4 linked regions of the Bombyx mori genome follow. The protein of the gene in region 4 purifies or fractionates together with the protein of the main gene of each other region. This does not show direct contact. Links are inferred from orthologs where the notes say so. Each region holds a gene or a part of one and is shown on either strand. Other genes may lie near its edges.

The links.
Region 1: the proteins of DNA ligase 3 (region 4) and probable tyrosyl-DNA phosphodiesterase purify together in Homo sapiens (affinity purification with mass spectrometry; 4 studies listed by BioGRID and IntAct, with this or other methods). This does not show direct contact. The link is inferred for Bombyx mori from reciprocal best matches to the Homo sapiens genes LIG3 and TDP1.
Region 2: the proteins of DNA ligase 3 (region 4) and uncharacterized protein F21D5.5 purify together in Homo sapiens (co-immunoprecipitation; 5 studies listed by BioGRID and IntAct, with this or other methods). This does not show direct contact. The link is inferred for Bombyx mori from reciprocal best matches to the Homo sapiens genes LIG3 and PNKP.
Region 3: the proteins of DNA ligase 3 (region 4) and poly [ADP-ribose] polymerase purify together in Homo sapiens (affinity purification with mass spectrometry; 3 studies listed by BioGRID and IntAct, with this or other methods). This does not show direct contact. The link is inferred for Bombyx mori from reciprocal best matches to the Homo sapiens genes LIG3 and PARP1.

The regions. Positions count from the first base shown.
Region 1 is NC_085130.1:17,778,517-17,786,512, forward strand, and holds the start of probable tyrosyl-DNA phosphodiesterase, read left to right. Parts: upstream 1-3,141; 5' UTR 3,142-3,265; coding exon 3,266-3,302; intron 3,303-3,396; coding exon 3,397-3,492; intron 3,493-4,124; coding exon 4,125-4,269; intron 4,270-5,335; coding exon 5,336-5,532; intron 5,533-7,947; coding exon 7,948-7,996. Other genes in the region: conserved oligomeric Golgi complex subunit 7, read left to right, coding at 1,157-1,250, 1,689-1,798. UniProt on the Homo sapiens protein: DNA repair enzyme that can remove a variety of covalent adducts from DNA through hydrolysis of a 3'-phosphodiester bond, giving rise to DNA with a free 3' phosphate.
Region 2 is NC_085114.1:7,137,469-7,145,335, forward strand, and holds the start of uncharacterized protein F21D5.5, read right to left. Parts: upstream 5,233-7,867; 5' UTR 4,955-5,232; coding exon 4,822-4,954; intron 4,559-4,821; coding exon 3,855-4,558; intron 3,639-3,854; coding exon 3,369-3,638; intron 2,262-3,368; coding exon 2,112-2,261; intron 883-2,111; coding exon 677-882; intron 1-676. Other genes in the region: acetyl-coenzyme A transporter 1, read left to right, coding at 6,770-6,979, 7,059-7,348, 7,461-7,812. UniProt on the Homo sapiens protein: Plays a key role in the repair of DNA damage, functioning as part of both the non-homologous end-joining (NHEJ) and base excision repair (BER) pathways.
Region 3 is NC_085128.1:12,940,769-12,948,700, reverse strand, and holds the start of poly [ADP-ribose] polymerase, read right to left. Parts: upstream 4,465-7,932; 5' UTR 4,287-4,464; coding exon 4,176-4,286; intron 621-4,175; coding exon 479-620; intron 165-478; coding exon 1-164. UniProt on the Homo sapiens protein: Poly-ADP-ribosyltransferase that mediates poly-ADP-ribosylation of proteins and plays a key role in DNA repair.
Region 4 is NC_085112.1:10,798,494-10,806,544, forward strand, and holds the start of DNA ligase 3, read right to left. Parts: upstream 4,696-8,051; 5' UTR 4,362-4,695; coding exon 2,772-4,361; intron 2,329-2,771; coding exon 2,175-2,328; intron 1,695-2,174; coding exon 1,431-1,694; intron 472-1,430; coding exon 1-471. Other genes in the region: suppressor of lurcher protein 1, read left to right, coding at 4,949-5,135, 6,363-6,553, 6,861-7,068, 7,149-7,396, 7,474-7,538. UniProt on the Homo sapiens protein: Isoform 3 functions as a heterodimer with DNA-repair protein XRCC1 in the nucleus and can correct defective DNA strand-break repair and sister chromatid exchange following treatment with ionizing radiation and alkylating agents.

The sequences.
Region 1 (7,996 bases), on a different chromosome or scaffold from region 4:
ATAAAACGGACCTTTAATTACAAAGATTAAATGTCGCTTAAACCAAACAGCCGTTCACCCCTCGATATGCTTTCACAAGTTCTGAATATTGATTACGGTCATTTAGGAATCTTCAGACCACGTTTCGAAGGCCTGTCTTAAAGCTCAGAATATGTTGGAGGGTAGTTCATTTTAGAGCTAATACGTGACAACAATGATCTCTGTAGACGAACCCAAATTTTCGAAGGAAAAGTGGTTAATGTACCAAGCTAAATAGAAATGGTTGTTGTTTGATATTTTGTCTATATTAATGTGTATTCTGTGATGTCCCGAGGTCATTGGCATCACGCGTTGTCAAATTTATTTTTTCATACATTACGCGGGATATATAACTTTTGAAGTGAAAACTTCTTTAGAATCGTTGTGATTTCAAACCGGATGCAACGGAAAAAACGACAGGTAAGAGACACAAATACAAAAATGTGTAGGATGAAGCCAGCAAAGAATGAGACAGAAATATACATACTATTTAATACAGCGCCATCTGTGAGATTTTTTAATACTAACGTGTGTATGAAAGCTCTTGTAGTGAATTTTTATTTAGGATTATACGCGAAATTATAATACCAATTCACAGAGGGCGCTACCTTACAATTATTTACTAATGACAAAATTTTACATATACTTAAGACGTTTAGGATAATTGTATTTTAATTTTGGAAGGTTTCACTTCTACCACGTGTGAATTGCACACATTTTGTTTTTTTTTACTGCTTTTTATTTCTTAGATTGGTGGACTAGCTCACGGTCTACCTGGTGTTAAGTGTTTACTGGAACCTATAGACATTTACAACGCAAATGCGCCACCCACCTTGAGACAAGTTCTAAGGTCTCAGTATAGTTACAACGGCTGCCCCACCCTTCAAACCGAAACTCATTACTGCTTCATGGCAGAAATAGGCAGGGTGGTGGTACCTACCCGTGCGGACTCACAAGAGGTCCTACCACCAGTGTGTTATAGTGTTAGCAAGCTCTCCCAAGTTGAGCCCGTGAGCTCATCTACCCTGGGCGTATCTGGAATAGCCTTATTATAGTCTACCAGCGAATAGGTAGGGGAAAAAAGTACCAGGATAACATGAATTGGGTAGAGTTAAATTTGTTTATTTCTTTTCTCTAGGTGTGCAACCACACGTGCGAAACGTATGCAGATAAGATTATGAATATAAAAAATATGGATGCGTTAGGAACGAAGAGATGTCTCACTGATATTGGTGAGCAAATTTTTTTTTTAAGCAATTAGGTTTATTTGTATTTTTGTATGTAACGGTGATTTTGGACAACTTTTTTAAACTTCCTTTTGTTTGTATTGCTTAGATGGGTGGATGAGCTCACGGCCCATCTGGTGTTAAGTGGTTACCGGAACCCATAGATATCAATCAACCACGTAAATGCCGTCACCCGCCTTATATGAGTTGTAAGATCTAAGAATTTGAGTTTTGGTATTTTCGTTGATGTCCATGGACGATGCTGTCAACTTGAGTTTTGGTATTGTTGATGTCCATGGGCGATTTGCACTGCAGCTGTGAATCATAAAAAATAGAATTTAAAGGAAAAAAACCAGTAAAACTTTCCCGTTTTCGACAACGCTAGTACCAGGCTGTCATAGTACAAAGGAGTTCTAAAATTAAAAACTGTTTTTTTTTCTAAAGTATACCTGTCCAGCGTAGTTGAAGATCTAGGGTCTTCCGTGACACCAGCGTTGAAGAACTTGGAGAATTCGTTGCGAGCTGCCACGCCGGCTCTACACAGTCAAAATTAGCGTAAATAAATGTTATTGAAATATAAAGGCTTTATTAAAATTATTGTTTGAATACTGTAACTTTCATTATCATTATGCCTCTATCAATACTACAATTGTAATAAAATTTTATTGATATAATGATAGATGCTCTGTACAACTGTACATGGGTTTTTTCCTACCTAAGCTGATGGTCTAGACTCTAGAGAGACCATATCAGCGTAACCTTAACTAGTAGGTGAGCTCACGGTTCTCAAACCTGACGATGTTGCTAACACTGGCCCTAGCAAGAGCAGTGCTTCCCGGAATCTGCCACCGGATCGGAAATGCAACCCACTACGAAGATCCGGCGAGAAACTCACTGGGCTGTGTCTGTGGGTTAATTTACTCGACGGGCTCGACGAGATCGATGGCCAGTGCTTGGGGTACCTAAAAGCACCGTTAGTGGATCGGGAGGATCCGAAATGACGTGACTACACGAGTGTGGATGCCTACCTACTTGTGCCCAAACTTGATGACAGCTGTCACAAGATGTTTTGGATTAAAGGTCTGGTTAACACGGCATAAAAGATGCTGTCCCAAATATCTTAAAAAATGAGACTGGCAGGAATCCGACAAGTAAAGTTGTGTGAATTGTTTTATTTTGTCACTTTAGTGTTTCTTCAGGCTTAAACATCTGGTGGTAGGTATTCCACCGGTCGATATATTTGTGAAGCACCATTTTCAAAGATGAACTTCATTAAGAATAAATTTCTTTTTCGACTGACTGAAGAATATCTCCAGGATTTAATGTTAATAGCTTTCACTAAATCTACTTCAAACTTGAAACAAATGACTTGAGAAACTTGAGACTTTTTTACTGGTGGTAGGAGCTCTTGTGAGTCCGCGCTGATAGGTACCACCACTCTGTCTATTTCTGCCGTGAAGCAGTAATGCGTTTCGGTTTGAAGTGTGGGGCACTCGTAACTATACTGAGACCTTAGAACTTATATATCAAGGTGGGTGGCGATTTACGTTGTAGATGTCTATGGGCTCCAGTAACCACTTAACACCGGGTGGGCTGTGAGCTAGTCCGCCCATCGAAGCAATAAAAAAAAATTAAAAAACTCAAAACGGGGGTTTGTTAACTGTTAAGTGTCTGTGAAAGTGTACAGTTGTCAGCATCCTCCAAAAAGTTTCAGTAAAAACTACATATTCTTTTGACTGAGACTATATTTCATCCCATATCATCTTGTTTCATTTAATTTCATATTAATTGAAGTCTCAAATTAATCAACTTCATTTCATTTTTCATAAAACATAAAATTCAAAACGTTAGGCTGTATAATATGAGTCCTTGGTCTTTTTGTTTGGAAAATAGAACTACTGGAAAAATGACACAACAAGACAGTTCACTATATAGTGTTTTGAAATATTTCCAAAGATTCAACAACTTTCTAACTTTATTTTATGATAGCTAGGTAGACTTTTTAAGTGATTTATTTAAGTATGAACCCTTCCCTAAAGCGACGAGGAACTATGCAAGGTACCTGTAACAATTCAAGTGTATCTGAGTTAACGAACAAAATAATAAATTTTATACAACGTTAAACAAAATAAAAATTGTCATGCTATTTCAGAAAATGAGACAAAAAGAGTAAAAAAGGTTTGTGATTATGGCGAAAAATGCTACAGAATGAATCCTGTACATTTCCGTGAATTTAGTCATCCGCATTGTAAGTAAAAAGTTTAAAAATTTTCTTGGATGTATGTGAAAAATGTAGTTTTTATTTTTGAATAGAACTCAGAAAAATCTTGCCTTAGTAAAAATTTGCAGTATTTTTAACTTTTATCAGAGTTTGAAGTCTTAACTGGAAAAGCAATTAGCCAAATCTGTTAAAAAGTTTCCGTGTTTCAATAACTCTTTGGTTAAACAACAGAAAAACAAATTAACAAGACAAAATAATAATCTTCGGTTCTCCTTTTTTTATTGTCTTTGTAGATAGCTGAGCATACTGCCCACTTGATGGTAAGTGGTCACCGTTGATCATAGATCATTGCCAGGGGCACAGCCAAGTCGCTGCCTACCTCTCCCAATGATACAAAATAATTGTAACTACTTGTAAATAGATAAACTGTAACTTTTGTAAATTGTAACTACGAAAAATTAAAGACAAACTTAAATCTAAATTGTAACTTAAAGGTTAAGGTTGACATTAATTTTTCGTTTACAATTTCCAACATTTCATTTACAGTTTTCACCACTGTAGATTACCACATTAAACCATAAAACCTGTTAGAAACAAAACATAAAAATTCAACTGATTTACAATGCACTCAACTGATATAATTGCATTATTTTCCACAGTGGAATCTATATTGGATAACCATGCCAGTGGTGGAGATTACCCTATCCCAGATAAATACAATCTCCAGAAGAAATTGATCACTGAACAGCTAGATCTTATAATCGAAAAGGGATTCTATGCTCCTCGGAACAATGTACAAAACAAGTAAATTGAAAAATATTCTCCACATTTATGATTTTATTTATATTACTAAAGTTTTTCATGCCTAGTGTAAAACTAAGTCTTCATTTAAATTTTAATAGTCTGAGGACTAGACTAGATAATTACACCATTGCTTTAGTTATTTGAGGCATGCTTTAGATGTGTTTTTGTTTTAAAGTTCTGAAGTGGTGGTCACATAATGGAATACGTAATGTGGGTTAGGCTCTCACAAGACGGATTGATGACCTGTTGAAGGTTGCGAATAGGGTTTGTTTGATGCAGCCTCATTTCTTGGTCTCAACTTAGTCAAACTTAGTTCACTGAATATGTACCCTCTAACTTAATACATATAAATATTAAGAAATATAAAAAAAATTACTTGAATTATTAAGTATTCACTGTATTATATATTATGACGGCGCGACTGGTGCCAATAAAGAGGTCAGCTCAGTTTTGTGCAATAATAGTAACTCGTACTCATAGTAGAACAGTGGATGTAGCTATTTCCCGAATTCTCCTGAATACCCTATTAAACAATTGTTTATAAGCATTGGAGTTATAACTGTTAACTTTTACACATCTTAGTTAAATAAATAGCAGTACTGTAAAGACAAGTTATTGTATAATCGTCATTTCGCGAAATCGGCACGATACGAGAACCGTCACATCGTGGCCGCCGGTAACTACATTCCCGATCCTGCGGACTGAATGGTAAACAGTCGACGTCGCCCAAAACGCCTCATTACGGATCCTCCCGATCCACTAACGGTGCTTTTAGGTACCTCAAGCACCGGGTAATCGTTCTCGTCGAACCCGTCGTTTGCGACGAAGGGCTCAGCGAGTAAACTAACCCACAGACACAGCCCACTGAGTTTCTCGCCGGATCTGTTCAATGGGTCGCGTTTCCGAACCGGTGGTAGATTCTGTGAAGCACTGCTAGGGTTCGTATTAGCAACGTCGTCCGGTTTGAGCCCCGCGAGCTCACCTACTCTCCTGGTTACGCTGAAATGGTCTCCCAAGACCATCAGTAACCCTTAGGTAGGTTTTAAAAAAAGTTTAATCATTATAGCCCAAAACAAATTGAAAACAAACAAGAAAGAGACAGCGACAGACGAGTAGGGAAAAATGTGGAACCGGAGGCAAGTTCTGCTAGTCATCAAAAAGTACCGGACAAACCTGAAAATACAAAAACAATGTTTTCAAATAATGAAGCCAAAATTAAGACACCTGTTGATAGAGGGGGAGTTGTTAAAGAGAAATCCACTAGTGAGTTTTATTTAATCAGATAATTTTTTGAAGATACTTTAACCGTAGTTATAAAAGCTGTTGAATTTATTTATTTTTCAATTTTTTTTGCTTAGATAGTTGGACGAGCTCACAGCCCACCTGTTAAGTGATTACTGGAGCCCATAGACATCTACAACGTAAATGTGCCACCCACCTTGAGATATAAGTTCTAAAGTCACAGTATGGTTACAACGTTTGCCCCACCCTTCAAACCGAAACGCATTACTGCTTCACGGCAGAAATAGGCAGGGGGTGTTACCTATCAGTGCGGACTCACAAGAGGTCCTACCACCAGTAATTACGCAAATTATAATTTTGCGGGTTTGATTTTTACTACACGATGTTATTCCTTCACCGCGGAAGTCAATCGTGAACATTTGCTAAGTACGTATAGAAAAATAGGTTCTCTTTTAAATTCTCTTTAAATTGTTCTATCACTCTGAATTCTAAAAAGGTGTGTACAGTGTAAACCTACACTATATAAATTGGCCTCAAGAAGTACGAGGGCGGCACTGAAAATTTCGGGAACTAACGAAGTGACACAACATTACTATTTAAAAATGTATTTATTGCTTTTCGAAGTATTCTCCGCGAAATTTGACACATTTTTCCATACGATGGAACCAATCATTGAAGCAACCATTCCATTCGGAAGTTGGGGTCTCCAAAATGGCCGTTTTGTAGGCGTCCACAGCTTCTTCAGGTGATGAAAATCTCTGTCCACGCAATTTATTCTTTATCTGTTTTCTATTCTGTTTTCTTGCTCTAAAAACTCTTTTGTTCTGTGCGCGGTGTGAGAACTCGCATTGTCGTGATGGAGGATGATGCGGCGGTTGCAGTTCTCTTTACGGAGTTCAGAAACGACCTGTGGCAAACAAATGCTAGCATACCATTCTGCATTAACCGTTCTTTGTCCCTCAAGAGGAATAGTCGTAACATGGCCGGTTTTGGAGACAAACGTGGCCACCATTTTTTTTGCAACACTCCGTGAACAAACAATTTTTGTTGGCTTTAACTCATTTTCGAACACCCAAACTCGTGACTGGTTTTTTGTTTCGGGTTCGTACGCGTATATCCAGGATTCGTCACCTGATACAATGTTGTATACAGCATTTGAGGATCCTGCGTGGAATCTTTCGAGAGTTCTGACGCACCAAGTAACGCGAGCCGGTTTTTGCTCTTCACAGAGCGAATGCGGTATCCATGGGGAAAACAACTTTTTTACACCTAATTTTTCATGCAAGATTATTTGTATTTGACTCACGCCAATGTCTAAAGTTGCCTGAATTTCGCGGTATGTCACATGTCGATCTTCCTCAATCAGCTTACGCACAGCATCAACGTTTTCTTGGGTGACTGCAGTTTTTGGATGACCTTGACGGGGATCATCACTGAGCTTGACACGTCCACGTTGAAACTCAGCAAACCAGCGATAAATTGTGGTTTTGGATGGGGCTTCATCACCAAATGCAGAAATCATCCGGTCAACACACTGTTTTTGTGTTAAACCACTTCGAAATTCATAATAAATCATCGCTCTTGAATTTTCTCGAGTCAATTTCATTTTCTCAACGACTAAACAAGTTTGACAAAACCTCGTGACAAGACCGAGAATCTTTTTTTAAATAAATAAATGGTATTCGATTTTTAAAACCAAGGAGTTTTCAATTAAAAAGATTTTAATATGACAGGAACAGGGGAAATATTCCATTCCCGATACTTTTAGTGCAGCCTAGTAAATCTTTAGGTTTTTTTCAATATGGCAATTTTTTTGTTATGCTGTTATTGTTGCCAGTTTCTATCTATTACGTGAATAATTGAGCTAATGAAATGAAGTTGAATCATTTGAAACTGTAATAAATTGAGATGAAATTAAGTGAAATGAAACTAGACGAGATGGAAGTCCTAGTGATATGGGGGGAATTTACTAGTGTTGTTTGATAAATACACTGAATTATCGCTCTTCCCCCAAAATTCTCCCTTCTATAAATAGTAGTAGTTTTATTTTTCCAATTGGAAAGGCAAAGGTATCATACCATACAGCTTAATCTTTTATATATTTTTTATATGAAAAATGATATTATGAAATGAGATGAGATGATATGGGATGAAATATAATCTCAGTAAAATGGTGGTCATTTACTGAGACTTTTTCAATGGACTCTTTGGAGGATCCAGAGAAGTTACGTTCAGCGGCTTTGTTTCATTTTCCCACATTTGTGCACTTTCACAGTTATTAAACAGATAATAAATCACCGTTATTACACATTTAAATCTGAAGAAACACTAAATAGACAAAATTAAACAAATCACACAACTTCACTTCTCGCGTTCCCGCCAAAAAGCCCTCTCTTGTATAATTTTTTTTTTTTCAAACTGTAATTCTATTTTCAGACTCAGATTATCGTCCCATAATACCTCCGACTCGACGTGTAGAAGATTA
Region 2 (7,867 bases), on a different chromosome or scaffold from region 4:
AGATTCATCGAGCTAGTAGGCACAGGGGAAAGATTCTTTGGGGGGATATTTGGGGGGAAAAAGTTAGTTAGAAATTTCGGAGGTTTTGTAGGTATCAATAATTCATCCACAAACACAGTTCACAATTACTATTAGAATAATTATAGTCTACTATACTATTCACAAGTCAATATTATAAAGGACAAATTATGCGACCAAATGGCAATAGAAACTGCCGAAGCGGTTCTCAGGATTCGATTTTCACTGCCAAATAGAGCCATAAATTTTGTTCCCACATCGGACATGTTAAATATCTTTAACTTCGAAAACGTGTATGCTTTAAATAATAATAACGAAAGTGAATCTGATTGTAATAATTGTTTAGAGATGGTTGAAGTTAAAGGGACAGCTTGATAAAAAAATAAAAGAATCCTTTTGGTTTTTTATTTCTTCTTTAAAATAAGTAAAGACTGTTTTGGGGGTCTTTTTCTTCAAAAAGCCTATTTTCGGGGGGTTTTCGAAAAAAGTTGGGGGGAAATTCACACAGTCATCTGGCAACACTGAACACTGGCCTTAGCAAGAGCAGTGCTTCGCAAAATCTACCACCGGATCGGAAACGCGACCCACTGAGAAGATCCGGCGAGAAACTCAGTGGGCGTTGTGTTTTTTTGAGTTAGCTAAACAGTAATGCACTCACTTGTAGGTATGGAATACAATATCGTTAACAGGAACATGATTGATCTTCATCAGTTCCCTAAATTTGTTATTATGTTGCGCATGGGCCTTAGAAGTAGCCATTTTAGCACAACGACAATCTACTTTATTTTGTTTTGCGAGTGATGTCCAACGGGAACGAGACTCAACATCCGGATTCGTACTGTCTACTATGACACTTTTTCCTTGCTGCAAAAAAAAGACATTTTCTTATTATAAAGAGGTTATATACTATACTGCCAGGGAGACTTTTTGGCGGGAACGCGAGAAGCGAAGTTATGTTAATTGTTTTATTTTGTTAATTTGGTGTGTTTATTCAGGCTTAAACGTATGTTGCTTTATTCACGGTTTAACATCTGTGAAAGTGTATAAATGTGGAAATTTGAAACAGTCGTAAAATCTGGCTTCTCGAGTTCTTCCAAAATGTTCACCAAAATCTCTGTAAATAACCACCATTTTACAGACTTTATTTCATTTCATCTCATACCGTTTCATATAATTTCATCCCAATTGATTACAATCTCAAATAAGTAAATTTGACCTCATTTCATCCAAATAATTTTTTACTACATTATTTTTTATATAACAGAATATATAAAATAATAAGCTATAATATATGGTGCGATACCTTCGTATTTCCTGTTGGAAAATAGAATTACTACTAGACTACCAATACGTCATCTGGAAATGATTTCCTAGCTTTTTTTAATACCATTACACATATTAATTAATGACAGGTGTACGGCTGACTAAAACATATTAAAAAAACACCCAATTAAGACAAAGCTAAAGATATTCCAAAATCTATAAAAATCCATAAAGCTCTTTATGGATACAGGGTGCGTGCTAAATAACAAAACATATTATAAAGAACTTTAATCATATCACACATATACTTTCGAAAAAAAAACTACCCTCATTTAAGAATATACTAAATTCTTAATTAAGAAACCTTGATAATAATGAACATAAAATATTAAAATGACTATATCATAATTATGAAATTTAATGTAGTCAATACGAATCACAACCTATTACCCGTTCAATTAGATTAAAATGTTATCTGATTGTGTCCATAAGACTTTCAATTAAAATTTCAATCAATATTGTAATATTACAATGCTATTTGTTAATTGCATTATTACTGATAATGATAAAGTGGACAGCTGGTGATAATGAACATAAAGACTGCCTGAAAATATGGTTCATTAAATTTCTCTTAAAGCCCATAGATATCAATCAAGTTAATGTCGCCTAATACCCATCTTGAGATACGAGTCGTAAATATAGCACTCCTCGCTCTTCAAATCGAAGCGCATTACTGCTTCACCGCAGAATTACGCTGGGCGAGCTCATAAAATACCCTACTACCAGTAAGTAAGCTTATTATATTTATTTGCCTTCGAACTTTGACTTACCTGCAACAATTTTGTGGCTTCAGCAGCACATTTTTGCCATGAGCCTAGAATATCTCTGCACACAGTCGCATATTTGTGATTTGATTTAGTTTCAATCTGCTTTGCCAAATAAGATTTTCCACTACCAGGAAATCCAACTAAAATTAGTATCTATAACGAAAGTTTTTTTATAACGACGTTATAACGAAATTTATTTTTATCGTTCTTTTGTTGTTGTCAACCTCACTGGCCATCAGGTGTTAAGTATTGAATGGCGCTATCTGCCGTAGGACGTGAGGTATAAGTCTCAATTGTGTTGGGTAATGGGTCTCCCCACTCTTCAAACCGGATCGCATTACTGTTATATGGCAGAAATAGACAGTATAATATACTCATGCGTGGTGGCTCACAAAATGCTCTATAAATAATAAATGTCGAAATACAGATCGCACTGTACTGGTATAATAGGTCCGAGAATGCTGCTACCCATTACTCGGTGACTAATCACCTTTTCAGAAAAATAGGAGGACAGGGGTTGTGCTGTGGGTCTGAAATAAAATTTGGGAAATAAACGTGGGCCAATCACGGCTGTACAGTCTACAAGCAAAGAACACAAGAACGCTAATTCCAAATGCTCAACTGTAGGAATTGCTGTATTGCTGTCGCAGCAGGACTTCATCAGTTTCATAAGTGCTCTCACTGTGTAACGTTTATTAATTTAACGTAAATTTCATTTGCATGAGACACTATTAAATGATACTTGATTCGCAACTAAATATATATATCTGCTTAAATTAAGGTATGCATTTTCGGTTTCTGGAACACTTGCAAAACCAATATTTTGATTAACTTTGAAATATTTCATCAATTTAAAATCTGCAGTAAAACTCAACTTAAAACTCAACCTCAAGTAAAAATAAAGTTTCAAAATGTTGAAAGAGAGTGAACCATTATTGTTGGAACTTCTAGCCAAAACTGCTAATAATGTGATTCCAACTTGAACAAAAAACAACATTTATTTGCTTAGTTAAGCATAATTATATATATATTGACTACTTTAGATTTCTTTAACCAAAGCAGCTCAAACAAAGACATTAACCTAGCGTCTCACAGTAGGTGGCAGCATTCACAATAGGATGTCTGTGAGTTCCAATAACCCTTAATATCTTTTTAGAGCAATTAATAACACCAGTATTGTATATTATTTTAGAATGTCTTTTGTTTAAAATCCAATTAAAAAAACAATTTTAAAATATATTTGAATGAAGTTTGACTAACCTCTTTATCTTTGCTAATTAGTTTATTATTAAAAGGTTCTACAGTTACTTCTTTAGGATGAAACTCAGGTTTACTCATTAGCACATTAGCAATAGAATGTCCCAAGAAGAATTGTTCGGGAGTATAAAATTTTAATTCCAAATTTTCAGCAAAGAGTTTGTCTGCCAAGGAGTGATCTTTCTTTTTACCAGGGGCCCAGTTTGCCACCCTTCCTGCAGCATCTCCACAATAAAAACTTTGGTTCATATCAACTTTGACACCATCATTTTTCTGTAAAAGAAAATAAATTAACATAAAATTCATAATATGCCTAGTTCTTTTAGGTCAGTATACTATAGGTTTATGTAGTTACCAATTCTGTCAAAATGGCTAAGCCCAAATTAAGTGAAGGCTTAAAAATATTAGAGATTTGTATTTCTTATAGCAAGACAGCTTTAATGCTTTAATTTAATCATAAATATGAGATTAAACAGACTCAAACTATACCTTTTCAGTCAAAGTCATCCACATTCCAATTCTAGGTTTCCTGTAAATCCCTTTACCAGTTGCTATATATGCTTGTACTGGCACATTTAATTTTTGGACAATACTTTCAATCTTCTTTTTAAAGTCTTCTATTTTAACTCTACCATTACCAATAGGGGCTTGATTGCTAAATAACACAATTTTGTAATCTTTTTCTAAAAATTCTTTCAGTTTTTGGGGCACTGAAGGAAATGCTATTTGCCAGTCATTTATGTCCACCGGATGAACTTTACCAGACTTTGTCTTGATTAGGGTTCCATCCATATCAAAAGATGCTATTTTGTCACTAGATTTCACTCCCTTAGCTGTAAACACATACAATTCACCTTTGTCTATTTCATCCCACATATCTCTAATAACTTTTTCAACTTTTTCTTTTACACTTGATGACACTTGTTCCACTTTTAATGATTTCTTTCTCTGAGATGTACTGTCATCTTCCAATTTCCTTTTGAATGTCTGATTCTGTGAGGTAGTTAGGCTTTCAGGAGGTGGATCAAATTCAAGTATATGCACATGATTGTTTAATAAAATCTCAATTGTTGATCCATGTCCAATTTCATACACTTCATCTTTTTTAAGAGCAAAACCATCTAACCCAGAAGCGTTTACCCCTAGTTGTTTTATCTCTACATGACATTTTTCACAATCTGCTTTTAAGCTTACTGTAAATGAAGAATAACAAGCATTTAGAAGAAGTAGAACACAATTATGGTAGGTATCAACTTAAGATTTTGATTTATCAACGCGAAATTATGTAGGATAAATAAAAATTTAAAGTATGTAAATTAATCTAAGCAAATAATTTTAAAAAATATGCAATGATTTGACGTAAAAGAAAATTATTCAAGATATTGCAATAAAGCTTGTTCAGCAAAGTATGCATTGGCACAATAAATAGGGTTTCTCAATTGAAGTTATCACTTACGCTGCTGTCTAGAACATGACTGATCCTTAATTTTTGTTTCTTTATTGCGCCCTACAATTATTTGTACGTTGTGAGGAAGTTTAATAGGCGCATGTGTATCTAACAAACATCTCAAAAAGCATAAACGAGACATGATAATAGTACGTACAGCATGAATAATGCGTTTAACATAGTTTTTATGAATTTAACTTTTGTATGGCATATTTAACAAACATGGTTATTTTTTTTAATTGGTACTTAACACGGTTTAATATTATAATATATAACAAGATAGGTTCAAAGGCTCGCAGATTTATTTAAGTACATTTAGGTATAGATTTTTTGAAAAATTAGAAATTAAATTAGGTGTATTATCTATGACAAATGACATAAAGTGACAGGACTTGTTGGCGGGAACGCGAGGAGTGAAGTTGTGTGATTTGTTTTATTTTGTCTATTTAGTGTTTCTTCAGGTTTAATATGTAATAGAGGTGGTTTTTTTAACTGTTTAGTATCTGTGAAAGTGCACAAATATGAGAAAATGAAACAAAGCCGCTGAACGTAGCTTCTCGGGATCCTCCAAAAAGTCCACTGAAACAGTCTCAGTAAATGACCACCATTTTACTGAGATTATATTTCATCCCATATCATCTCATCTCATTTCATTTCATGCCATGTTTCATATTAATCAACTTCATTTCATTTCATAATATCATTTTTCATGTAAAAAAGTTTTTATTAAAATTAAAATAAGATTTGACCTAAAGGTCTTAGTTACCAGGTCACAAAATCCCTTAAAAAAAATTAAGTGACAGTAAGTGACTCTTGTTTATAGAGATGGGTCAGATTTACAAGAACAGACCCAAGTATTAGGTATTTTACGAGATTAGGCTGCACCTAATCCCATTTTGCCAATATGTATAATCTACCTTTTCCACCTAACCTTCGTATTCTTAAAATCCTAATAACGTACTGAGAACTTGAGATTAGGAACAGGCAGATTGAGATTGCTTGCTTAGTAAAGTATTGGTTGTGAATGATATTAGGAAGATTTTATGGATTAGGTATTTCTTAAAATTAGGAGCTTGTGGTAAATCAAATACTAGTATCTGATTCACCTAGTATAACTCATCTCTAGCTGCTTAGGATAAGACGACGGAGGCTCGCTGAATTTGGCCCCACGTTTTTTCATTTCCGGATTTTTTTATTTTTTATTATTTATTGCTTAGATGGATGGACGAGCTTACAGCCCACCTGGTCTTTAGTGGTTACTGGAGCCCATAGACATCTACAACGTAAATGCGCCACCCACCTTGAGGTATAAATTCTAAAGTCTCAGTTTAATTACAACGGCTGCCCCACCATTCAAGCCGAAACACATTACTGCTGCACGGCAGAAATAGGCGGGGTGGTGGTACCGTGTGGGCTCACAAGAGGTCGTACCACCAGATTAGATGATAATAATAAGGCTTAATAAAGTGGAAACAACTTCGGGTAGAATTTCTGTATTGGCTACGTTCTCTTTGCATGTTTAATGGACGAATCACACAAACAAAAAATTACAATGCCACAGATCACTAAGAGATGTCAGTTTCCAAAAAAGAAACATGGTCATAGATAATACACTAGTTAATACGCGAAACCTACCTGTAATACTATGTTTCATTCATCAAATCAATTTCAATTTTCATATTAGGTACGTATGTGCTACTATGTACGTGGTAATCGTGCAGATTATTAATATTAAATAAATAGTTATTTTTTTATTAAAACTGTACTAAAAATTTTAAATGGTGAATGAAATAATTGATTTAGTCAGTTTTTAAGAAAAAAAAATTATTTTCAGTGTGGTCTTGATTCAAAACAGCAAACATTAAGGTTTGGAATGAGTAAATTCTACTGACGTGTTTTTTCAACATTGGCACTTTAGAACATTTGTGATGTATTTTAGGCTATAAGAGCAGCAATTATGACTTTAACAAAGCGCAAAAATTCACCGGAAAATGAGGAATTGATTGAAAACGGAGACGCGCCGAACGAAGGAAGAAGTAACATTAAAGGGGATGAACTAAACATAGCTGTTTTGTTGTTCCTATACACATTACAGGGTATACCACTGGGATTAGCTGGAGCTGTCCCAATGCTTTTACAAAATAAAGGCATAACGTACACGCAACAAGTCAGTATTCTAAAGAATTTTTTTTTATAATAAAAAGGTAATATTTTGCATTTCAACTATATCCGTTTTAAAATTTCAGGCTGAATTTAGTTTAGTAAATTGGCCCTTTAGTGTAAAACTATTATGGGCTCCTATAGTGGATGCAATGTTTTGGCCTGAATTTGGAAGAAGAAAAACTTGGCTTGTACCCGTCCAGTACTTGATTGGAATAGTAATGATTATAGTATCATATTGTGTCACAGATTGGCTGGGAATTGATGGGGAACCACCTTCAATGACAATACTTACAGTATCTTTTCTGTTATTAAATTTTTTAGCGGCCACACAAGATATTGCTGTTGATGGCTGGGCTTTGACTATGTTGAAAAGGTATGACAATCGCTTAATTATAAATATTATAAAAAGATGAAATTGACAGATTTGGAATTTGAATGTAAGATTTGATTAAGAATTGTAATTCTTTTTATGAATTAATTTTCAGGTGTAATGTTGGACATGCCTCGACATGTAATACAGTAGGCCAAACAGCTGGGTTTTTTTTGGGATATGTAATGTTTCTGGCTCTCGAGTCTCCATATTTCTGCAACAAATATTTACGAACAGAACCACAGGAGACTGGACTAGTGACTCTGTCAAGTTTTCTACTATTTTGGGGTTGGATTTTCATTATAACGACTACATTCATAGCTATATTTAAACATGAAGCTAATGATACCAGTGCAAGTGGTCAGGTGAAGGGAGGAAATGATATTGTTAGTGCTTACAAACAGTTGTATACAATTGTGAAATTACCAGCAGTGCGTAAATTAGCTTTGGTTCTGTTCACTGCTAAGGTGAGAAATATTTTAATTAATTAAATGAAATCCAAAGTGATTTAAGACACTATCC
Region 3 (7,932 bases), on a different chromosome or scaffold from region 4:
AATTTCACATTCAGGACACGTGGCCCTACTGCTTTTTGAATATTCAACTTTGAAGTCCTTCAGCGCAGAGTTATCTGATTCTGGGGCGGCTCTCTTGTTACGTTTACCTTTGCCTTTGGTTTTGGTTTCTTGAATGGGCATTACAACAGCACCAGCACTGTTTTCTGCTCAATTGAAAGTAATTGGAACTAGTAGTGTTAATACAGGCAGGAGCTGATTAATTCTGTTGCATGTGTAGTGTTAACTATTATAGAAAAAAAAACTCAGCAAAAATTTTAATTGCACTACTGACATTTATAAAACGGGTTTCCATTTTAATTTATATATTTACACAAGTAGTAAACAACAAAATTTATTGGTTATCTATCAAATAAAAAATCATGCATGGTGAAAGATGTTCACTTTGTCAGTTTTCTGAAACATGTTTTTAGCACATATTTTGAACACTTAATGACTGTACATTTTAAATTTTACTAACCTATAGTAGTTTTTATTCTTTTCTGGTCTTCATTTTTAAGTACATTGAAGTTTGCAATTTCAGTGAAACTGTTTAAACGTCGCTTTTTAAAAAAACAATCTTCATGATGCCAGTTTGGTTGTTTTCCATCAAAGAAAGCTGACTGCGGAGTTTTAGAAATATTATGTGGTTATATACAAATCTTTGGTTGTGGTTATAATTAAAAAATCTACATAAACTAAAGAATGAAGTCGTTGTGCCTAAAGGATAAGACGTCCGGTGCATTCGTGTTGAAGCAATGCACCGGTGTTTGAATCCCAGGCGGGTACATTTTTTTCTAATGAAATACGTAGTCAGCAAATGTTCACGATTGACTTCCACGATGAAAAAATAACATCGTGTAATAAAAAACAAACCCGTAAAATTATAATTTGCGTAATTACTGGTGGTAGGACCACTTGTGTTTCTGCGCGGGTAGGTACTACCACCCCGTCTATTTCTGCCGTGAAGCAGTAATGCGTTTCGGTTTGAAGGGTGAGGCAGCCGTTGTAGAACTTATATCTCAAGGTGGGTGGCGCATTTACGTTGTAGATGTCTATGGGCTCCAGTAACCACTTAACACCCCATGGGCTGTGAGCTCCAGCTGTGAAACCCAAACCCTGTCTTCAACCTAGGAAACAAATGGATGACTTATTGATGTAGTTTTACTATTAAAATGGAAAATAGCCGTAATTAGTTAGTAGTTTTATTTAGGTTTTTTTGCTGCAAAGTTAATAGTTATAGGTACAGACACTTATGGCAGAATTCGTTGTTTCATTAAAAATGGTACATGGGAACCTGAAATATTTTAAGAGACTAGCAAATATAGGCTTAGACTTCACAAAATATCCATGCCACTTCATCCTTCCTTTTTGCATTTATGAGCGAATATGATGAATGTAGTTCATACACATAACAGTACTAATACATCTCACCACCACCATTGGAACATGAGGTAAATTGGGAACCTCTGGGTCTGCGGAGGGACTTCGGTTCCCTCTGTATTTTGTACCGTATGTTCCATGGGGAGTGCTCTGAGGAATTGTTCGAGATGATACCGGCATCTCGTTTTTACCATCGCACCGCCCGCCACCGGAGTAGAGTTCATCCATACTACCTGGAGCCACTGCGGTCATCCACAGTTCGTTTCCAGAGATCTTTTTTGCCATGTACCATCCGGCTATGGAATGAGCTCCCCTCCACGGTGTTTCCCGAGCGCTATGACATGTCCTTCTTGAAACGAGGCTTGTGGAGAGTATTAAGCGGTAGGCAGCGGCTTGGCTCTGCCCCTGGCATTGCTAAAGTCCATGGGCGACGGTAACCACTCACCATCAGGCGGGCCGTATGCTCGCCTGCCTACAAGGGCAATAAAAAAAATCTTTCAGAGTTGAGTCATATAAATAAATAAATATATATATGTATTTACTAACGATCACGCCACGTTAACTGGTCACTTTTTTTTTTTTTTTTTTCTGACCGAGGGCCGAACCTCCTACGAGGTCCCCGCGCCTAGGGGGCGCGCGGGGTATGTGAGACTCAACGATCTGCAGGTGTTGAGAGCAGACCGCGGGCCCAAGGAATTTAGGGCCCACCCACTAAACGACTCCCCTGCACTCTTACACCCGGCGTCCGATCTCCGTCCGGGGTCAAAGCCCGGTCAGAGTAGGGGGGTTTCCGCGGTCAACACTACAACCAGACACGCGGCGCCACCCCGAGGACGCCCGACCGACGGGTCGTCGAGGCGATAGTCGACGACCAACGACGTCAGTCTCCGCGGTACGGCGGCCCTACTAGGCCGCCCGGGCAATGCCACTGGTGTTCCGGGATACCCCGCTGGGCCAGAACCAGCCTGCCGGGTCGGAACGCGATACACCGCCGACCGGGTTGCTCTTCCACAGTATGTTCGGCGACGACAGCGACGACGAAAATGCGGACCGCGCCGCCGACGCGTCGTCCCGTACTCCTGGTGCCAGCGCGCTAGAGTGACGGTAGCGTGCGGCGCAGTCTCAACCCCCTTAGGTCGCCCCGTGACCATCACCGGGAGGAGACTGCCTCCTCATAGGGGCCGGAGCTGGACAAACGCCCTCCTCCGACCCCCGGCTCGACGGCGGCGGCACGGCGCCGAAGAGTTCTCCCTCTCCCGTTCCGCCACCTCCTTCTGCGAGATGGTGGACTCTCAGAAGTCGAGCATCGCCTGCCAGGACTCATCGCTGCCGAGCATCGCAGCCACGACGGTCGGAAGCGACAAGTCCGGTCCTATTTTTGCAACGAGGACACGGCGCTGCTCCGCGAAAGCGGGGCAGTACGCGAGCGTGTGCTCCGCCGTGTCTTCGTTGCAGCCACTGCAATGGTGGCACTTCGGCGTCGGCTCCCTCCGGGCAACGAGGTGCAGGTAGCGACCGAAACAGCCGTGTCCCGTGAGCACCTGCGTCGCTCGGAAGGTGAGACGTCCTCGGTACGTTAACTGGTCCCGTGCTAAGTTTGTAAAGACCTTGTGTTACAGGTATCAGATAACGGAAATAAAAATAAGATTTTTATTATACACTTATGTAGTGTGCAGCTCACCTAACCTTATATTTGTAACTGCACACACTAAATTATAACAGTATTACACTAATTGTCGACTTGAACAATTCTCTTTTATTTTGCCTACATCACTCCAATACACTTACATATATATAATATACATTCATAACCCTGGAAAAGACATTTTATATTTATCATACAAATATCTTCCCTTGGTGGAATTCGAACCCGCGACCCTCTTGTGTAGTGACCATGTCACTTACCACTACACCAGATGCCCATTGTATATATATATTTAGGATTCAGAAGAAAAACCATTTAAAAAAATAACAATTAGCACACGTTTACAGAGACTTAAAACAATGACTCACTCACACCATGTCCACGACTACCTTCTCTCACGAACGCCGCCGATCGAATTAATGTTTCGAGCAAAGGCGTTGCTATTTATAGGCACTGTACCCTCAACATTATTATAAAATTCGTGTTTCCTAAATTAACACTTAAAGTCTTTGACCGATGTTCTCTCGACTAATGTCAACCGACAAATGCGCGGGTGACAGAGCTGCACGCCGGTTTTATACCTTTTTAGTAGGGTATTCCTTACTATATATATTTAATTTTAATTGCAAGCAGAATCTCTGGAACTTTCTGAGAAGTTTAATTTTCTTATTCTTAGCATTGTAGGCAGTGTTGAGTAAGTCATTTGGAGGGCAAAGGCTAGTTGGAGTTTAAAGTGTTGGGAGTCTCCAACAGAGCAGTGCAGTACTTCACGTCTGAAGAAAAAATTATAGGTACTTTACAAAGCACAAGTTTGGCCTCAAATGGACTGTTGCTCCAATCTCTGGGCTTTAAAAGATTTGCAAAGGGTACTCAACGCTAAACAGCAACTTGGCTAGGTCCTAACATTTATTGTCGTCCATGAGCAACGGTAATTAATCATCATCAGATGAGTAATTACCGATAAAAGCAACAAGAAAATACAACGGCTGTTTCACTTTCAAACTGGTTCTCAATGTCAGTAAACTAGTAGGTAACTTAGTCTGTGCTCAAGACTACATCGCGGCGGAAATAGGCAGGATGGCGTGCTTACCTTTATCGGCTTAGTTAAGAAAATATATACATAGTTCTAAATTTTACACATTATACAAACCTGTACCATCACAGCAATGCGCAGTGAGCCTTGATCAATTTTTTGTTTACAACCCTTACAGGCTGCTCTACCTGTCTTTGCGTATTCAACTTGATATGGCAAGTCTGCCATTTTTTTGCAATTCTGTTATGTATTACTTCTAATGTTCTTTTTATGAAAGTAGATATTAGGTTTTATTTTTGCTACATACAGTGTACAACGATAAAACAAACAAATTCACATAAAATGACGTTATTTTCGGCTTTTGCAACCACAGATTTGTTTTCATAGATATTTTTTAAAGGATTTTATGACCTGGTAACTAAGGCTTTTAGGTCAAGTCTTATTTTAATTTTAATGAAAACTTTTTTTGAGTGAAAAATGATAATATGAAATGAAATGAAATCAGATGATATGATATGGGATGAAATATAATCTCAGTAAAATGGTGGTTATTTGCTGTGATTTTTTCAGTGGACTTTTTGGAGGATCCCGAGAAGTTACGTCCAGCGGCTTTGTTTCATTTTCCCACATTTGTGCACTTTCACAGATATTAAACAATCAATAGACCACCGTTATTACATATTTAAACCTGAAGAAACACTAAATAGACAAAATAAAACAAATCACACAACTTCACTCCTCGCGTTCCCGCCAAAAAGTCAACCTGTAATTACCTAATTTTTTTTAAGGGATTCTATGAACCGGTAACTATGACCTTTAAGTCATGTCTTATTTTAATATAGTAACTATACTGAGACCTTAGAACTTATATCTCAAGGTGAGTGGCGTATTTACGTTGTGGATGTTTATGGGCTCCAGTAACCACTTAACACCAGGTGGGCTGTGAGCTCGTCCACCCATCTAAGCAATAAATAAATAAATAAATATATATTTCTTAATTTTATGAAAAATGATAACATGAAGTGAAATGATATGAAAATGATTAATTTGAGACATTAATCAACTGGGATGAAATAAAATGAAATGAGACGAGATGATATGGGATGACTTATAATCTCAGTAAAATGGTAGTCATTTACTGAGACTTTTTCAGTCGACTTTTTAGAAGATCCCGAGAAGTTAGGTTCAGCGGCTTTGTTTCATTTTCCCACAATTGTGCACTTTCACAGATATTAAGCAGTTAACAAACCACCGCTATTACACATTTAATAATAATAATAATTTATTTATTTCTCTCTTAAAGGTACAAGGTACATACAAATTCAAATGGAAATAAATTAACCTTATAATTTATTTTGTAAGCCTTTGAAAGAGCTGAAGTCTGTACTAGGTTCAAAGACCTGTATTACTGATCTCCAGGCTCCCTCCTTCTTAAGATAGATTAGGTTAGGTTAAGTCGTGAACAGATGCTGCGGACTAGTGTTGAGAGATCATTAGGTGTTATATTTTAAGAAGGTCATTTTACGTGTGTGTGCGTGTGTGAATGTGTGTGTATTTGGATGTGTGTGAGTGTGTGTATATGTGGGCGTGTGCGCGCATGCATGTTGTATTGTGTATGTGTGAGTATCTGCATCTATGCGTGTTTATTATTACTATTACATAGGTATAAATAATTTTTTGCTTAATTGGGCTCGAAAACAAAAAGCAGATTACTTCACAGTCTGGAGTAAGTTCTCTGTTTGCTCGTAGTCTAGGTCGTGAAGCCAATTTGTTAGTGCATGTTTGCATTGGGTCTGTGTCATGCTGATCATATTGATCAGCTTATTGATTTTATTTTATATGAAGCTACTTAGGAAGCCATAGAAGCGTTGAGCTAACGATGTAGAAACAAGTGTCGTGGGACGCACACCATGCCCGCGCCGCTGACTTACGAGCAATGTCGGATCGTATGGAGTTTTCGAGTGTGTAGTCATAATAAGATTAAGAATAAATAATTTACGGACAGAAAGGACTTTACAGGTTTTGTAAAGATCATTTGTAGGAAACCTATAAGGGAGCCGCCATCCAGCTTTTAAAATACATCTCTGGGCACGTTCAAGTTTTTAAAAGTGTGTTTTGGAAGACCCGCCCCATGCCACTATGCAGTACTGAGTGACTGATTGACAGAGCGCTAAATAAACGAGTGTAAGTACGTTCCTGTCGGTAACATGACGCAGATTTTTAAAAATGTAAGTGAGTTTGCGTAATCTGGACGACAGAACGTCAATATGGGAATGAAAGGATAATAGGTCATCGATCTGTATACCCAGATACCTAATGCAATTTGTCCTGGCAAGGGAGGGGCAACCGCAGGCAGTTTGTCCAAGAGCGTTACAGGAGTGGGCTATAAGTGAAAAAGGCGAAGATGATATTTTACCACGCGTAGACAGGGAAAAAGTGACGTACTTAGTTTTATCCACGTTCAGTGTCAGTAGATTTTTAGACAGCCAGTCAGTTACGGTGTTCAGGCCACATTGAGCAAAACTAAAAGCTGCCTCCCAAGAACTGCCATGAAATACGAGAGCAGTATCGTCAGCATAGGTGTAAATAGACCCGTTTGTGATATTTAGTTGACATAGGTCATTTATATATATTAAAAATAGGGTAGGGCCGAGAATAGTGCCCTGTGGCACTCCATATGCTATAGGGAGTTCGTCACTGATAAGGTCACTGATTTTGACACATTGACGTCTGCCCGTAAGGTAGCTCCTGAAAAGTGAAAGCTGACTGCCTCTTAACCCAACGGCTTCAAGCTTAGTTATGAGAGTTGGGATAGAAATCGTGTCGAAGGCTTTAGCTAAGTCCAAGAATATAACAATTACTTTGTTCTTTTTATATAGTTTTGTGACAATTTCATTAGTTAAGTTTAAAACTGCATCGCTAGTCGATATACCAGAGCGGAAACCATATTGAGAGGGGGAGAGAAGGTTGTATTTGTCTAAGAATTTTATAAGTCTATGGTTCATAATTTTTTCCAGAATTTTTGAGAGGGTTGGCACTGTTGGCAGAATAGAAATAGGTCTGTAATTGTTCGGCAGACGTCGGTCCCCCGTACCCTTATCGATCGGATGAACTACTGCAAGCTTAAAGACGTTGGGAAAGACTCCAGTAGAAATAGCCAGATTACATAAAAACGTAACTGGAGCTAGAAGGATGTGTTTAAATTTTTTTTGAATTATCCCAGAGATATTATCCGATCCAGAGGCACAGTCTGTTCTGAGGCTATTTATTAGGGTTTCTATCTCGGATTGGTCAGTTTCCAGCATAGCAAAAGTTCTTAAATGAGAAAACAATTTAGGTACTTTTGAGTGTGTTTTTTTTGCATGAATATTTAGAGCTAGTGAACTACCGACATTGGCAAAGTAATGGTTGACCGTATTAATAGAGTTTGCGGGTCCTGCGTGTGTGAGAAGGTCGTTCGCATGGGTATTTTGTTTTTTGGTATGTGTTATAGTTTTAATTGTTTCCCAAAGCTTCTTATTATTGTTTTGAGCATTTTTTATTTGGGCCCTATCATAATTGCTCTTAGCGCTTTTTAAAAGAGATGTACAGTAGTTCCTATATCTTTTAAAAGTTAATTGAAGAACTTCATTTTTAGGATATTTTTTCACTTTTTTGTGTAATTTGTCCCGGTTTCGGAGGCATCTCAGAATCCCCGGAGTCATCCACAATTTTCTGAGCCTTTTGCGATGTGGTACAACTTTTAGACTCGTGTTTTCAAGAATTATGGTATTAAGAGTGTTAATAAAATAATTAGTAGCTACGTTAGCGTCAGTGGAGTTGTGTAAAAGGGAAAAATCAATTTGAAGTAATTTTTCATTAATTTTATCATAGT
Region 4 (8,051 bases):
TATTCGTTTCCTCATAAGATTCAGAGAGGGTTCCTTCCGAAATATTTAAATGTCTTTTCCTTCTTTTGATTTCCCTTTTAGAATCAGTCTCATCGTAACTCAAATCCGAATTAGAACCATTCAGTTTATTTTTGTTCGACGCTTTTGTTTCTAACTTTACTAGGGGACTATCTGGAGATTTCTTTGAAGGACTCTGTTTTGGTTCTTTCTTTAAGAAATTGTCCAATTTATTTTGTTTCTTCGGACTAGCCTTCGTTTTTTTGTTCGTTGTTTCAATACCAGAAGCTGAAGCAGCCAATTTGTTTAATAATGAGACGTCACTGGTTTCTTTCGAAGTTTTGTATAAATGTTTCAGTTCATCCAAGTTCGTGGCGGACTGCCAGTCTTTGTCTGTTCGAATCCTTGTGACTCTTGGGAACCTCACTGATATCCCATCGGCTGTGTGTTGGTTTGCTTTTGTTAACTCGGTACCTGAAACCACACAACTTATGATTACAAAGCAAAAAAAAATTTTTTTGGCAGTTCAGTTTTAAGGACCCTAATATTTTCTTATAATAAAATCTTAACCACATACTAAAACTCCATAAAGGTCAGCATACAATTAGTACTTGAAATATAATATTGAAATTTAAATAATCACATTGTCAGTGGCTGAAACTTAAGTAAGGTGACCAACTATTTTATGTTCAAAAAGAGTAACACTTTGCAAGCATTTCATCGGTGAAAAAAAAAAGAAGAAAAAAACAATAAAAACTTTATTTATTTTTAAAAACCTATTTTTAAATCAAATTCAAATCACTGTCAAAATAAAATTTTAAGTATTTAATTAATAAAATTGAAATAAAAAAAATAAAAAATAATAATTTAGAAATACAAATGAGAGGTATAAAATTATACAAATGAGTACTTTTAGAGTACAGGATTTGAAAAGAGAACGGTTTGCGAAAAAAGAGTACAAAACTCAGTAAATTAGTATAGTTTGGTCACCTTATTAAGGCCAGCTTCGTGCACGGACATGTAATGCTCTATTTACAGTTTCTATTAATAACTCCTATCTATAAAGCGTTAACGGCATTCATGGATACTCACGGTTAGATAAGGCTGTTATTATATCGAAGGGTGAAAGCCTATTTGTTTTAAACGACATTTTCGCAACTTTACAGAAAGTATTTAATGCTTAATATTTGGTAAAAATATCATAACAAAAAAACTATTAAACTTCTTCAGCTATTAGAATGAGGTAAACTAATTTGAAGCTGAATTAAAATCATCGAATTGTTGATACTAATATCAAATAAAACGGACCCTTAATTACAGAGATAAATGTAGCTTAAACTAAATAAGCTTTCACCCCTCAATATGTATTTTGTTTATGGCAAAAGGCCCCAACTAATCAATAGTTACCATAAACAAAAAACAAATACACTAACCTGTAATTTCCCAAACTGGTTGCTTCTTAGGATCTAAAGCGACGAAATCCGGCACCATACCCTTTTTACAGTCTAACCATGACGGGACTTTATTACTGTCTTGAGAAATCTTCAACATTAAAGGTCCTAACTCCTTTTGAAGTCTCTCGAGCGTGCTATCATCATGTCCCGTATGCACTTTGGTTACAGTTACCCACTTATTTTTGTACTTATCCAAACAGCCCATCAAGAATACTGACATCATTCCGCCTTTCTTACCTGTACCTGAAAAATTCAATAACAATATATAATAATATATAAAAATTCAATGGGGTCTTATATAATTTTACAAGAAATAAAAAAATACAGCCCGAAAAATACATGTTTCCTGAATATCTCAAATATACCTAATGGATATATCAAAATATTTTATCTTTTAAAATACATCCATATTTTTTTTATTTCTTAGATGGGTAAACGAGCTTACAGCCCACCTGGTGATAAGTGGTCACCGGAGCCCATAGAAGCCCAGCTTGAGACAGAAGTTCTAAGTCTTATTTTTCAGTAAAGCACCTGAAACCGAAACGAAATGCCACTACACGGCAGATTTGGCTAAAGAAAGTAACATTCAAAAATTATGTTTATTATTCACACAAAAATGAGTTAGCAGTGTTGTTTGACTAAATTTAGATGTTAGTTAGATGCTATCTTATAAAAATTGATAGTTAATGGCAAGAGGTTAATTATGAAAAACTGTATGTTTACCAAACCAAGCTCCAAGTACAACAAGATCTGCAGTGTCAGCCATTGCTCCATCAAAGAGATAATCTTTCTTCACTTTCAACCAATGACGTTTTCCCGGCTCATATATAGATTCACGGTCTTTTAGTACCAGTCCTTCCAGACCCAGTTGTAGAACCTGGAATAATTAAAAGACAGTTTCTGGCAAATGATGTCTTGACATAACGTTTCTTTTTTACTACAGAAATTATATATGTTATTGTGTTTTGAAAAGATATCTGGAAGAATATTAATAAAAGTAAATTGTATGAAATGTGAATTATTATTGTGCAAAATTAAAATACAAAAAGGAATTTTCTAGATATACGAGTGAATTAGCTCATTGCTCACCTGGTGCTAAATGGCCAACACAGCCTACACACCTCGAGACATGACTTTCAAGTCTTAAGTTTTTACAGTACAATGGTTGCCCCACCCTTCATATCAAAATACTGCTTCACGACAGAAATAGGCAAAGTGGTGAGACCTAACCAAGGCTCACCAGACTCTTGTGTCAGTAAAAATTGTGTTTTAAACAATTTGCAATGGATTTTTATTTTAGAGGATTTTTATTTTATTTACCTCAGCAATCATCTTAGCTAAATCTGATGGCTTCTCAATAAACTGTAATTCAGATAACATGACATGATTTTTTACTTCAATCATATTTTCCTCAAGAAACTTCTTTCTTTTCCAAATTGGCTCATTCATCAATACTTCTCCATTATAATAGAGACAATCAAATATAAACAAACATACTTCCGCATCTTTAAATTCAGATTGTTTGTGTACGCCCAATGTACCAAATGGTAAGGGCTTCCCAGTACACACATCCACCATCAAAACTTCAGCATCTAATATCATATCTTCTCCTTTAGGAAAAGCTTTAGGCAAATGTTCCTTAAATAAGCTTACTTTATGTGCCATCACAGGTTTTAATGCTCTAGAAAAGTATTTAAATTCTGTACCTTTTTTATGTATCTGAACTCTCTCCCCATCATATTTAATTTCAGAGTACATACCGTTTGGACATTTTTTCATCGCCATTTCAATTGATTTGCATGCTTCAGCTAACATAGGCAAAACTGGAGTCATTAATGTCAGTTTTGCTGAAACAGCTTTGTGGCTCACACCCTTGTCATTTGAACTATTATTCTTTGACAAAACCCGATCAAGAACCATATTAAGGTCTCTTGACGTCTGAAAAACATTATATGAATCGGGATGCACTCCTTCCAAGATATGCTTTGGTCCAGCATTAATTCTTAGATCTCCTTTTATTAACCGTATCAACATTTTCATATCATCTAATGTACATTTTTTCACAATTTTTTTGAAGTGGTAAATTTGTTCTTCTTCTTTTGTTAATGTAGATAAGTTTTCTAGGAAATCTTCTATGTTGTGGATCGTAAGTGAACTAAAGGAAGCAGGTTGCACTACCTTTGATGTTGAGAAAAATCTCTGTATCGTATTTGCCACATCTCCCTGTTCTAGATCCGTTAACATATCATCGTGATCAATATTGAATATTTTTGAGAAGAGCTTAACTAATTGTTTGCTCTTTAAATTATAAACTCTTTTGGTTACTTGAGGTAATAGTAATTTACACCACAAACCAAGATCTCCTTTAAAATTATCTTTCTCTATTCCTTTCGTAAAAAAAGAATTAACAGCAGCAGTCTTTTCAGTATATGCATCGACTTTTGCAATTCTTTTACATAATTCAATAAAAGTACTAAATTTATTATCTTCTACAATGTTACCACTATCAGTAGTGTCTGGCTCACTTTTAACACTATTTTTCTTTATGGAGCCTAAAGATTTGTTTTCAATTAGTTTCGCTGTGTATTTCCCACTGTGTTTTTCTGCGTACAATTTTTCAGTTTCGTTTAATTTTTTTAGTATCAATTCTTGATCTTCCTTACTAATATTGTCCCAGTTACCAATGTCGTTGATGGATTCAACTCGTTTAGTATTAGGGCGTTGCTTTAACAATACGTCAGTAAAACAATGAACATGATACCAAGATTTCATGGATTGATTATCGCCATACGGGCTCGGTACAAGTTTGGCCATACGTAGTTCACCACTAGGACAGTTGCCTTTACATAATTTACATGCTGCCCTACCACCTTTGGCTCGATCTACGTAAAACGGTGTTGAATCGGACATTGCGATTATGAATGCCAATGAGGCAATGACACACTTAAAAATATATGTTGAATACTCAAAACATCTGATACGAGACCTGTTGTGACAGGTTTTGAAGCATTTTTTTCAAGAAGCACTGTTTAATATTAAATAACTTTTATTCTCTATCTCCTTATATTTAACCACTTTACATAACTTGCGCGAAGTACGGATTTTTTTATAAAAATAACATAAATTACGGCCTGAAGTGTGCAATAACAACTTTAATTTTAAAAACAGTTTTCCTCGTGTTTTCTAGTTTTCAATACACACACATCAAAATTCAAAACATAATATAAAGACAACTGACATTGTCACATTATTGACATTTGACGTTATAGTCAGCACAGCCACGCATGCGCGTCTCGTGGAACATTCGGATACAGATTCTTGGCAATCTTTAATTTTGCAACATTAGACTATTAATACGTAAACTCTAGTATTCACGAATAATTGTTATGAGATATTTGTCTTTGATGATATACACTTGACTATGATCATATAGGAAAAACTATAGTTATTTTTTATCAATTTTGTAATTATAATAATAATATTTGTTTATGTTTCAGCATCATCCTGCCACCAAGAATTCAACAGTGATACGACGAAGCATGGAACACTGACTTCTCCTCATTATCCCACTCCATATCCACCGAACACACATTGTCATTACGAATTCTTCGGGAGAGGAAAAGAAAGAATAAGATTAATTTTCCTGGACTTTTTTCTATATAAAACAGCTGATGGCACTTTGGAGTAAGTAAAAGTTATATTTTCAAAATATTACTCAACTTTTGACGAAGTTTGTTTTAATATTCAATAAGCTAAAGATTATTAGTAAAATGCTATCAACAAAATAAATCTTCACATTTCTGGAAATCTATGAAAATAATCGTAATATTAAATAAATAACTATTAATTTGACTGTCCTTTGTCTAATGGGTATGCCGCTCTGTAAGTATATGTCGTGTAATATACAAGTATACAAGTCCGGCCTCGCGTGGAGTACTGCTCCCATCTCTGGGCCGGGGCTCCCAATACCAGCTTCTTCCATTTGACTCCATACAGAGGAGGGCCGTTCGGATTGTCGATAATCCCATTCTCTCGGATCGTTTGGAGCCTCTGGGTCTGCGGAGGGACTTCGGTTCCCTCTGTATTTTGTACCGTATGTTCCATGGGGAGTGCTCTGAGGAATTGTTCGAGATGATACCAGCATCTCGTTTTTACCATCGCACCGCCCGCCACCGGAGTAGAGTTCATCCATACTACCTGGAGCCACTGCGGTCATCCACAGTGCGTTTCCAGAGATCTTTTTTGCCACGTACCATCCGGCTATGCAATGAGCTCCCCTCCACGGTGTTTCCCGAGCGCTATGACATGTCCTTCTTCAAACGAGGCTTATGGAGAGTATTAAGCGGTAGGCAGCGGCTTGGCTCTGCCCCTGGCATTGCTGAAGTCCATGGGCGACGGTAACCACTCACCATCAGGTGGGCCGTATGCCCGTCTGCCTACAAAGGCATTAAAAAAAAAAAAAATTTTTTTTATTGCCGCTTAGATTTGTGGACGGTACATTTATTTTTAATAAGGTAACTTTATAAATAAATTAGTACACCTCTTCTTCACACTAACTGTCAATAGTGCCCGGGGTTCCGGTTACTACTTAACAACAAGTGAACGGTGAACTGATTTATATCTCTGTATCGAAAATAAGATGATATACGTGGATTACATTAATTTTCCAATTGTGAACGTTGGGTTCTTTTTTTTTTTAATAAACGGTAACCCAAAGCATTAAAGGTGCGACATAATTCGACTCCATTGGACTCTATCGATACAGTGGACTGTTCACCTTGAGTATCTATACCAACAACATTAAAACAATTACAATACCTAGAATATTTAACAGCATAATAAAATAATTTATGGGGAAGTTACAAATAACATTTATTATTTTTTACATAATATTATTTTTTCACATTTCAGCTGTACGAATACGGACTCGCTACAAGCGTTCATTAATGTGGACGGAAGATTGGAAAAAGTACAGACGTTTTGCGGAATCGATCTCCCAAAGCCTATCATGTCTAACGGTCCAAAACTGATGTTAGAGTTTCGGGGCACGCAATCGTCTAGATACGTTAGAGGATTTAAAATTGCTTATTCTTTTGTTGAAAGTGAGTATTGATAATTGTAATGTAGGTACCTATTTGATTAGGTATCAAGATAAATTCGTCAATAGTTGCCACTGATTAGCAGCCCACTTAAACGCAATTGATTACCCTACAATTAACAACATCATAGTGCCATCAATTAATTTGTGAATGTTTGTGAATTCACAATAAGTTTTGTACGCATTAGAACTCTCTCAAGAGTTAGAAAAACAATTTTAAGTATTGTATATCGAACATGACCTAAAATGTTCAATTTTATTATTCGGCAGCGATTGCAATAGTATATATTATAAAATCTTCTACATTACAGATTTTGGAATTTCATCTGGGAGGCAACTCAAAGAGTTTCCCTGCGCCTTCGTATATAACAGTACAGAAAATCGTAACGGTACCTTCGCATCCCCTAATTCACCAGGACCATATCCTCGTGATACAGAATGTACATATTTTTTCCACGGCGGTGAGACCGAGAAAGTGCATCTACATTTCACCAATTTCGATGTAGAAGGAGTTTTGCCGTAAGACGTTGTTTATTATTTGCTAATTTATTGTAATTAATTCTCAATAGTTTTTTCATTTAAAATCTTCATAATTTCAGCTGTGAAGCTGTATCGGCAAGTGATTACGTCGAATTTTCTAATTACATGACTGAAGACAATAGATACGGCAGATATTGTGGTCAAATGAAAGAATTCCATGTTGAATCCGAAAGGAATTTCTTCAAAGTAACTTTTCGTTCCAATGATAGATTGGATGGAGCTGGATTCAAAGCCATTTATCAGTTTCTAGAAGCAACTGATGAATATCAGGCACCTTCAGTTCAAGATAAAGCTTCATGTTCATTGTGTAAGTTCACATCTAACTATATATTCCAGTAAGTAATTTAATACATGTTTATCAAAATACTTATGTTTCTGTTTCAGATAAAATCTCCAACCTTCAGAATATTCTGGCGATTTCGCTGCTACAATATTTACTATATCATTAACAAATAAAAGTGATATTAGAATTATGAATTTAGCTTTTAATCCTGTATATTTGTAATATAGTACGTGCCATTCATGACAATTATGTAATACATAGTAGTATATTGATGTAGTATTTTCTATCAAATTGCGATTTTCGTTATCCTCTATTAAAAGCAACGCAATGATTAAATGTAACACAATAAAGGTTAATAAAATTATGGCACAGTACAAACAAATTTAATTTCATCAATTCGTGGTCTTTGGCGTTTTAAAAATTAATGGCAATTTAAAAATTGGTCCTATGAAATGTTGTAGCAATAGATGAATATTTTAAAAATTAATGTCAATCATCGATGGTATCAGGGCCGCAATGAAACCAGTGTTAGGAATATAATGCTATTTAATTATTTTGCATATTTTAACTACATATTGTGTGAGATGATTTGGGGATGCGCGATATATCGACCATCAGTCTCTCTTCGAATAGAAGCGCGGTGCAGGTGAGGCGACCAAAGCTTGTGTCAGAAGTGAAA